Saccharomyces cerevisiae S288C: one gene and its partner. Changing the gene in region 1 together with any one later gene gives a genetic interaction. Each region holds a gene or a part of one and is shown in the gene's direction. Other genes may lie near its edges. The genes, in order: FRE4 and PUG1.

The links.
Region 2: mutations in FRE4 (region 1) and PUG1 together harm fitness more than expected from each alone (negative genetic interaction), as found in Saccharomyces cerevisiae (one large-scale study listed by BioGRID).

What each region holds. Positions count from the first base shown.
Region 1 is NC_001146.8:738,082-742,866, forward strand, and holds FRE4 (ferric-chelate reductase), read left to right. Parts: upstream 1-1,869; coding exon 1,870-4,029; downstream 4,030-4,785. Other genes in the region: MNT4 (putative alpha-1,3-mannosyltransferase), read left to right, coding at 1-464. UniProt on the Saccharomyces cerevisiae protein: Siderophore-iron reductase responsible for reducing extracellular iron prior to import. Catalyzes the reductive uptake of Fe(3+) bound to dihydroxamate rhodotorulic acid.
Region 2 is NC_001137.3:557,311-560,876, forward strand, and holds PUG1 (Pug1p), read left to right. Parts: upstream 1-2,143; coding exon 2,144-3,055; downstream 3,056-3,566. Other genes in the region: TOG1 (Tog1p), read right to left, coding at 1-1,370. UniProt on the Saccharomyces cerevisiae protein: Involved in inducible protoporphyrin IX influx and heme efflux.

The sequences.
Region 1 (4,785 bases):
GGTTTTGGCTTAGTTTGTTTATTTCCAAAAAAGAGTTTACTTTTTATCCAATAGAGGCTTCGAATGTAGGAAGATTAGAGAAGCCGGAGACTCTAGAAAGCAGTACAATCTGTTCTACCCAGCTATCTCACACGGACGTGTACGGTAATCTTTTGTGGTTGAATGGCGGATTATCCGTTTGCAAAAAAAATTGTTGGAATTATGATTTTACAAAGCGTAAAGAGATTGCGGCCAAATACAAAAGCGTTGATGAATTACGGAATTACTATCAATCACCTGTGAAACTCGAAGCTGTCATAATACCCGATGTCAGCAAGTCCCCCTGGTCGCAACAGAGCGAATGCGTTATGTACAGCTATTGCACACATTATAGGAAGGGACAGTACGGAAAATTGATAGAGTTTACAGATTCTCAAAAGAAATATTACGAGAAAGTTGTAGAATTATGGAACAAGGTTGTATAGAGTATGTTTCAGTATGAGTACGGTGAATTTCCTATAAGTTTTTAAACTTTTAGATTTTTCTATAAAGCATGTTAAACCCTTCTTGACATCGTTTTCAAACGGCATCTTTCCTACGGAACTAGGCTGTTTTTGAGATATCCTTATTTAAGTTCCTCTTGGCACAATGTTATTCCCGCATTTATATTTAGTTAACATTATGTGAAATTCGCTCATAAAAAGAGCCTTAGCTCTTTCTTCATTTTGCCTCAAGAAAACTTTAAAATAAAGTAGGAATGCCAACAATACTTTTCTTCAGTAAAAGACGAATATTGGCGTAGAATTTTACCGGTAATCATATATACTTGGCTTAGAACACTGACACATGCATTTTTCTCTGGACCCTTGCACAAATCATCAGTAGCGCCTGAATCAAAAACTAACAAAATACCATATCTGTTTTAAACAAATAAGTATATCGCATGAAGTAAGTTTCCCGCACGTAAAACTACTACAACACATTTTCGCCTAGAATTATAAGAATGTTTAGTGCATTGGCTCCAAGCGAGTAATTGTACGATGCACGTGCATAAAAAGTGCTCAGTACCCAGTTCCGCTATTAGCACAGGGAAATTTTCCTTACAAGCGAGCCCTTCAATAGCTTAGGAAGTAAGGTTACTTTGGCGACGGCCATAGATGCCTGAGTAGCCTTTTTCCTTTTTCCTTCCCTCAAGAATGTGTGAAATGACGTTTTCGGGATAAAGCGGGCGCTAGCAAGAAACTTCTACTAAGAGTAACGTGGCTGAGAAGAGAAGAATAATAAAGGTATGCCATGGAATAATTTTAGAAGAGGGGGACCTGCTTCTTAGAAACACGTAATCTGAATCCCAGAGCAACTGCGTACAAAACAAGATCTTGGCTTTGTAAGCAGGAACGGCTTTTTCCGATAGAAGAACGTTTTTTGTTTTTTTATGCAAGACCGTCTAAAAATTTGCACCCTATTTAACATAGACACTCAACGAATACCATAATTGCACCTGGTTTCATAGGACCCTGAGGGAACAATACTCAAAAGAACAAAGACTACTGGTAGAGGTCCCGATATATCCCTTCACTGCCGGTGACTATGGTAAAAATGAGGTTACAATTTCTGTATCGTTAGAGAAAATTTTTTTCGTTAAGGCAAACGCATCAGCGTTTACATAGGGAATTCCTAGCGTAGTTTAATGAGCAAGGTACATCAAACCCTAGTAGTTCTTGCAGTTACACAAAATATTCGTTAAAAGCCAGTTTTTCTCCTCTTTCTTAGTCTTGGCTGACTCTCATATAAAACAACTAGAGAAGCTGAGAAAGACTCCAGTTAATCGTGTCTCCCCAGCGTCTATTTCTTGAACCTGAGATGGCTAAATAAGCTTAGGTAGGCAAAACCATGTTGTTGGTACATATTATATCTTTCCTTCTGTTCTTCCAGCTTTCGGCCGCAAAGGCCCCACCCAGTAAAACGTCTCTAATAAATACTCATGAGAGAAGGTCGATATATTCATGCTACGTTGGTTTACGTAAAGAAACATGGGGGTTCAATGGGTCCGCTATATGTCGGTATGAACCAGCAATCCAATCGATGCTTTACTGTCTTTACGAAGACACGCATGAGAAAGGGTATTCAAATAAAACTTTGGAGAAAGGTTTTGAAGAAATGAGACAATTTTGCTATACACCAAAGTTTTTGAACATGACTGATGCCGAGTTTTACACCTCATTGGATAATGGAACATACTATATACAAGATCAACCTAAAGCTGGCATCAATATCACTTATCCTATCAGACTGAACACTACACTAAGAAAAGCATACTATGATGCATACTATGGTTACTACTATAACCATGACATTCCGTATTATTTCGGGGGCATTATCTGTGCATACTTTGTGGGTGTCATGTTGCTTGCAGGTTTAATTCGTTTTTTGAATTATACCCCAATAAAAAAGATTATGTTTCAGCAAAAGCTAGTCAATTACGTGAGAGGTTATACTACTCTACCCACTCTTTATGAAAAGCATGCAGAGCCCTTCTCGTACTTAAAAGTGATAACAGGCTATCTTCCTACTAGGTTTGAAACGTTGGTTATTTTAGGCTACCTCATACTTCATACCATTTTCATGGCCTACAAATATCAATATGATCCATACCACATCATATTTGCCGCTCATAGAGCAGAAGTGGCACATTTTGTTGCGTACAGAAGCGGTATACTTTCTTTTGCACACCTGCCACTCATTGTTTTATTTGCGGGAAGAAATAACTTTCTCCAACTTATTTCTGGCTTGAAGCATACCTCATTCATTGTGTTCCATAAGTGGCTGGGAAGAATGATGTTTCTTGATGCAATAATTCATGCTGCCGGCTTTACGAACTATTATTTGTATTATAAAAAATGGAATACGGTTAGATTAAGAGTCTACTGGAAATTCGGTATTGCTACCACCTGTTTAGCGGGAATGTTAATTTTCTTTTCCATCGCAGCATTTAGAAGACACTACTATGAAACGTTTATGGCCCTCCATATAGTATTCGCAGCACTATTTCTCTATACTTGTTGGGAGCATGTTACTAACTTCAGCGGTATCGAATGGATTTACGCGGCAATAGCAATTTGGGGAGTTGATAGAATTGTACGTATCACCAGAATTGCACTCTTAGGATTTCCTAAAGCAGATCTACAACTGGTTGGATCTGATTTGGTCCGTGTAACGGTTAAAAAACCAAAGAAGTTTTGGAAGGCAAAACCAGGCCAATACGTTTTCGTTTCCTTCTTGCGTCCATTGTGCTTCTGGCAGTCGCATCCATTTACAGTGATGGATTCTTGCGTAAACGATAGAGAATTGGTCATCGTTCTGAAAGCAAAGAAAGGTGTGACAAAACTGGTAAGAAACTTTGTTGAACGTAAAGGCGGCAAGGCATCCATGAGATTAGCTATCGAAGGCCCTTATGGCTCCAAGTCCACCGCCCATCGCTTTGATAATGTATTATTGTTGGCAGGTGGCTCAGGGCTTCCCGGTCCAATTTCTCATGCCCTTGAATTAGGAAAGACAACAGCTGCAAGCGGTAAAAACTTTGTACAGTTAGTCATAGCAGTAAGAGGACTAGACATGCTCAACGCGTGTAAGAAAGAACTAATGGCATTAAAGGGCTTGAATGTTCAAGTTCACATTTATAATTCTAAGCAAGAGCTAGCTTCGGCTGAAAAAATTTCCTCAAATGAAGTCAAAAACGGTGAAACGACAGCAGAGAAGGCCCCATCTAGTCTAAGCAATTCAGAAAAAGCTCCTTCTGAAAGTGAAAATACAGAACTACCTCTTTCCCTGAATGACACGTCTATCTCCGATTTAGAATTTGCCACTTTCCATGTTGGAAGGCCAAATGTTGAAGAAATACTAAATGAATCTGTTAACCATTCTGGTTCACTTGCCGTCGTATGTTGCGGACCACCTATTTTCGTCGACACCGCTAGAAATCAAACTGCCAAAGCTGTTATCAGAAACCCATCAAGAATGATTGAATACTTGGAGGAATACCAAGCCTGGTGAACAATTTTTCATATTTAAGTAAACACTCAATGTATAATATCCTCTAACTGTTGTAATTTCATTAACGTAGATGGTTTGCGCCTTTTTTAGGGGACTCTTGTTGATTGATTCTAACTACTGAGGCTTAAGTTGTTTCAAATAACACTTTTTCAGAAAAATAATCGTATTAAAAAGCAGAAAAATCATACGTAAGATGACAGAAGCTTCATATTTAGTAACTCTGAATTGTATAACACACCAATTGCCGATAGAATATGAACCAATCGATCTTCAGCGTTCATGTACTTAATTTAACTACCTGTATTTTCTTATAAAGATAAAATTGGTGTATAATGTAAGGACCAAGAGAAAAAGGAATCCCGCATCCCAAGCAATTTCTAGTGGACTATTTCTTCAAAAAATAACTCAATAAACACCTATATAATGTTCGGAGGTTATACTTTAGTGTTTTAGAATGCAGTACCAAAAGTAATATATTGAATTAATAACTATATGATGTGTAGCTAAGAATTAAATAGTAAACGTCTTCTGAAACCTTTTAAGAGGTAATTATTGGTATTCCAAATTCATATGTGGAGGTAAGGGAGACACAAAATTATCTGGAATGACAGCGTGCTGACACCTATAAGGTTCCGTAACTTCAAATGCCTTCATTACTCAACATAGGAAAAGTGAAAGTGTGTGCCTCTAAAATATACGGAACATCGTCGAACTAAAAAAATCCATTAAGCAAAGTCAGAAACAGCATGCACTACA
Region 2 (3,566 bases), on another chromosome or scaffold:
AGCAAACCAGAGAATACCGCTGTAATAATTTTCGTTAATAGAATATAGCCGAAAGAGATACAAATATCAAACTTACTTGGGTCGAGCTCCACCAAGTTTATTAAAGTAAAACAGTCCATCGAATCATCTACCCCTAATCCAACCACATCCTTGGGAAAGAGACACGAAGTCATTTCATGTGGTATCAATGGCTGCTTACCGGTGACCAATGAATACCATCTATCCCACCAGTAGCAGTCCCACCATAACTTACGATATTCTTCGGCAGTGTCCTCATCCTGACCAATATAATATTCCCAACGATTCAAACCAGCATCCAAACTTCGCCTGGACATCGTGGAAATAATTCTTCCCAGCACAAAAGGATCGTCTATCCAATATCTGTGTTTCATCAACGAGACTAAGCCCTTTAAAATAGTCAAGTCGTACATTGTCGAAAATAGGGATCTTTCAAAATATTCAAGACAGAGACAAAAAATCAACTCATCTTGCTCAAGAAAATATTTCAAAGGAAGTAATTTTTTGGAACTTTTACGATCCAACGCCTTGTGGTGCTGTTCCATCAATTGTACTCCGTACATAAACCAGTCTGTTGGTTTATTGAATTTGATTGTTTGGTTAATGTTTGTATTTCCTTTGATTTCATTCGATATATTTGACATAATGTGTTGAATAAGTACGTCGTTCCCACATGAAAGTCCGTTTAGCTTTGAATAATACTCTAAAGGAGATATCGAAGTTACTTTAGGACCAGCATGGCTAGCAGAGCTAGCGTCAAGAAACTTCAAAAATAAATAGATAGTTTCTCTCGTCTCCCTATCATTCGAACATGAAATCAATTTTTTAGTTATCCAGCTAATACCCGTAGAGGCAAAATATAGCAACGGTGAATAGACCCCAAAGTACATACTGACATTTTGTGCAGTATTGCTTTCAAAAGCGTTGGAGAACCTATTCAAAGATTTTGACTGTTTCCCGATAATTTCTGTTTCTATCGATTTCAGGCCACCATACGAGCTAATTTCCTTACTGTCCAGATTGAGGTAAAGCTGAGGTTGTATTTTTTCAAGCTCAGTGCAAATGTTTGCTAGGCCTTTCTGTAAAGAGGCCGGTGCGCTTGGAGGTAACTGTGCCTTCAATTTTGCTATGCTGCACTTAGCATTATCCAAATCATTACTGAGACTACCAGTATAATTGAAAAAAGCCTCAATCGGTTCACGAAATTGATTTCTATACGTACATTTTGATTGAGACCCAATACACCCAAAACATGGCTTCTTACTGTTGCACTTAATCTTTTTCCTATGGCATCTATCACAGGCCTTGGTTACCCTAGATTTTTGTTTGGCTAATCCTCTTTTTGCTGCCATCTCAATAAAATATAAAAAGCTAAAAAGCTTAAAATTTAAACAACAATAATGTCGTTAACCTAATGCGCTTATTCGATGAGATTTGGATTTGCTTCTAGCTTATAGAAAGGAAGAAAGTTTTTACTGTTCAAAGCACACATCAAAAAAATTATTACCCAGCCTTTCAAACAAACAAAGTACTCCAAAATAGTTATTTTTGAATACTAGCAAACCAACCAATCACTTTTTTTGTTGGATTATCAAATAAGCCTAATCAGGTCTTTCATGCAGCGTTGAATCCAGGTTACTTCACCGCACCTTAAGTTAAGATCAGGACAGTATCGGCTGTTCCTGAGAAACCAGCCATATTCAAGTTTCGGTATCCTAACCGTTGATATTGTCCTTATTTGTCGACCTTCAAATATTGTGGCTGCCATGTATATGAGCGCCTCGATCTATTATGACTAAGCCATGCGATTGTCGTGTAATGGTATCGCGCATACTGAAGGTTTCAGCCCTGTTTTGATGTGCCGCGGCAAAGTGGTTTTTCTCCATACAGGATGAAGTGTTTCTTTCCCCATGCCGCGGCAAGCTCATCCTAAATAAATCTCAACTTTTCAACTAAATGTACTTCAATTGAACAAATGCCAAGACCTCAAATGAATCAGTATAAAAGCACCTACCGAATCAATTGTGGGATGTATAGTCTCTTGCCTCAAAATGTCCAGGATAGTAGGTTAATAGTGTCCAATTACATAGCTACTTAATCTTTTATTGTCCATCAACGTTCCAAAATGTCCACAACTGATTCGGGGTTCGTACTTTACCACTATACGCCAAGTAAAGCGGCTGCAATCGTATTTGTCGTACTCTTCATTATAATGACAGTCATTTTTGCCGTTCAAACTTTATATGCTGCGAGAAAATCTTCTAAGGCATTGAAAAATAATCCATTTGAGTCATCTGATGATAAGGTCGATAGTCTTGAGGATGCTGAATACAAGCAACTAAAAATCACACCCACAGTTTTTGCGTTTATACCTTTCTTCACTGGCTGCATCATGGAAGCTGTCGGGTATATCGGGAGGGCTCTATCCAGTTCCAATCCTGAAAGAACGACCCCATATATTATCCAATCTGTTCTTTTATTAGTCGCTCCAGCACTAATAGCTGCGACGATTTATATGATTTTTGGAAGGTTATTACATGTTATGAGGTGCCAATCTTTAATTTTGATTTCTGCACGCTTTGGTACGACTTTCTTTGTTGTGGGAGATGTGTTTAGTTTCTTTTTACAAGCTGCAGGTGGCGGACTAATGTCTAAGGCAGGATCAACGAAGACTGGTTCAGGACTCATAACTGCGGGTCTTTTTGTACAGGTAATTTTTTTTGGATTTTTCATTATCAATGAGATAAGATTCACAGTAAATGTTAAAAGGAGATGCTTATTTTACGAAGATATTTCCAGAAAGTGGATCTTTGTGAATGCTACCCTATTATTAAGCAGTATGTTGATCCTACTACGTTCAATTGTCCGAATAGTTGAATTTATTCAGGGATTCAATGGCTATATAATCTCTCATGAGTATTTCATATATGTCTTCGATGCTGTACCTATGTTATTGGTAATAATAGCATTTAGTGTGGGATCCTTTTTCGGCAACGTATTCGATGTTATAAAGGAGTGTCAAACGTTAAGTAATTAGATAATATATATCAAATTTTGATTTCTATGTAGTGCAGCCAATCAATTTTAACTTCATTTAGAATAAAAATCTTTCCTCTTCTGCTTTGAAGCCATTAAAACGAAAGATCTAGGCGGTACTATTTCTCCATTCTCAGCCGTACAATCATGCACCGAAAAGGAAGGCAATGTATTGAATTTTTCGCCGAGAACAAAATATTTGTAAACACTCGTTAGATTCCGCATTGTTAAGTGGCATCACAAACACAATCAAGATTAAGAGAAAAGTAGCTCGTTGAGAAAGATTCTTGTACATATCGGGATACTTCTGAAGTCTAATAAAACATTCAAATAAAGACAGACTGGATAAAAGATTCCTGAACGTCAAAACTTATATCTTCTTGTCCCTTGGAATGTCTCTCTGCTCTTATATTGTTGCTGTTGAGTGGTCTCATGACAATAAAGTATGTCACTGAATTGAAGACTACTGAACCATGGCAGCTAATACAATCACGCCCATCCAGAAAAGTGTC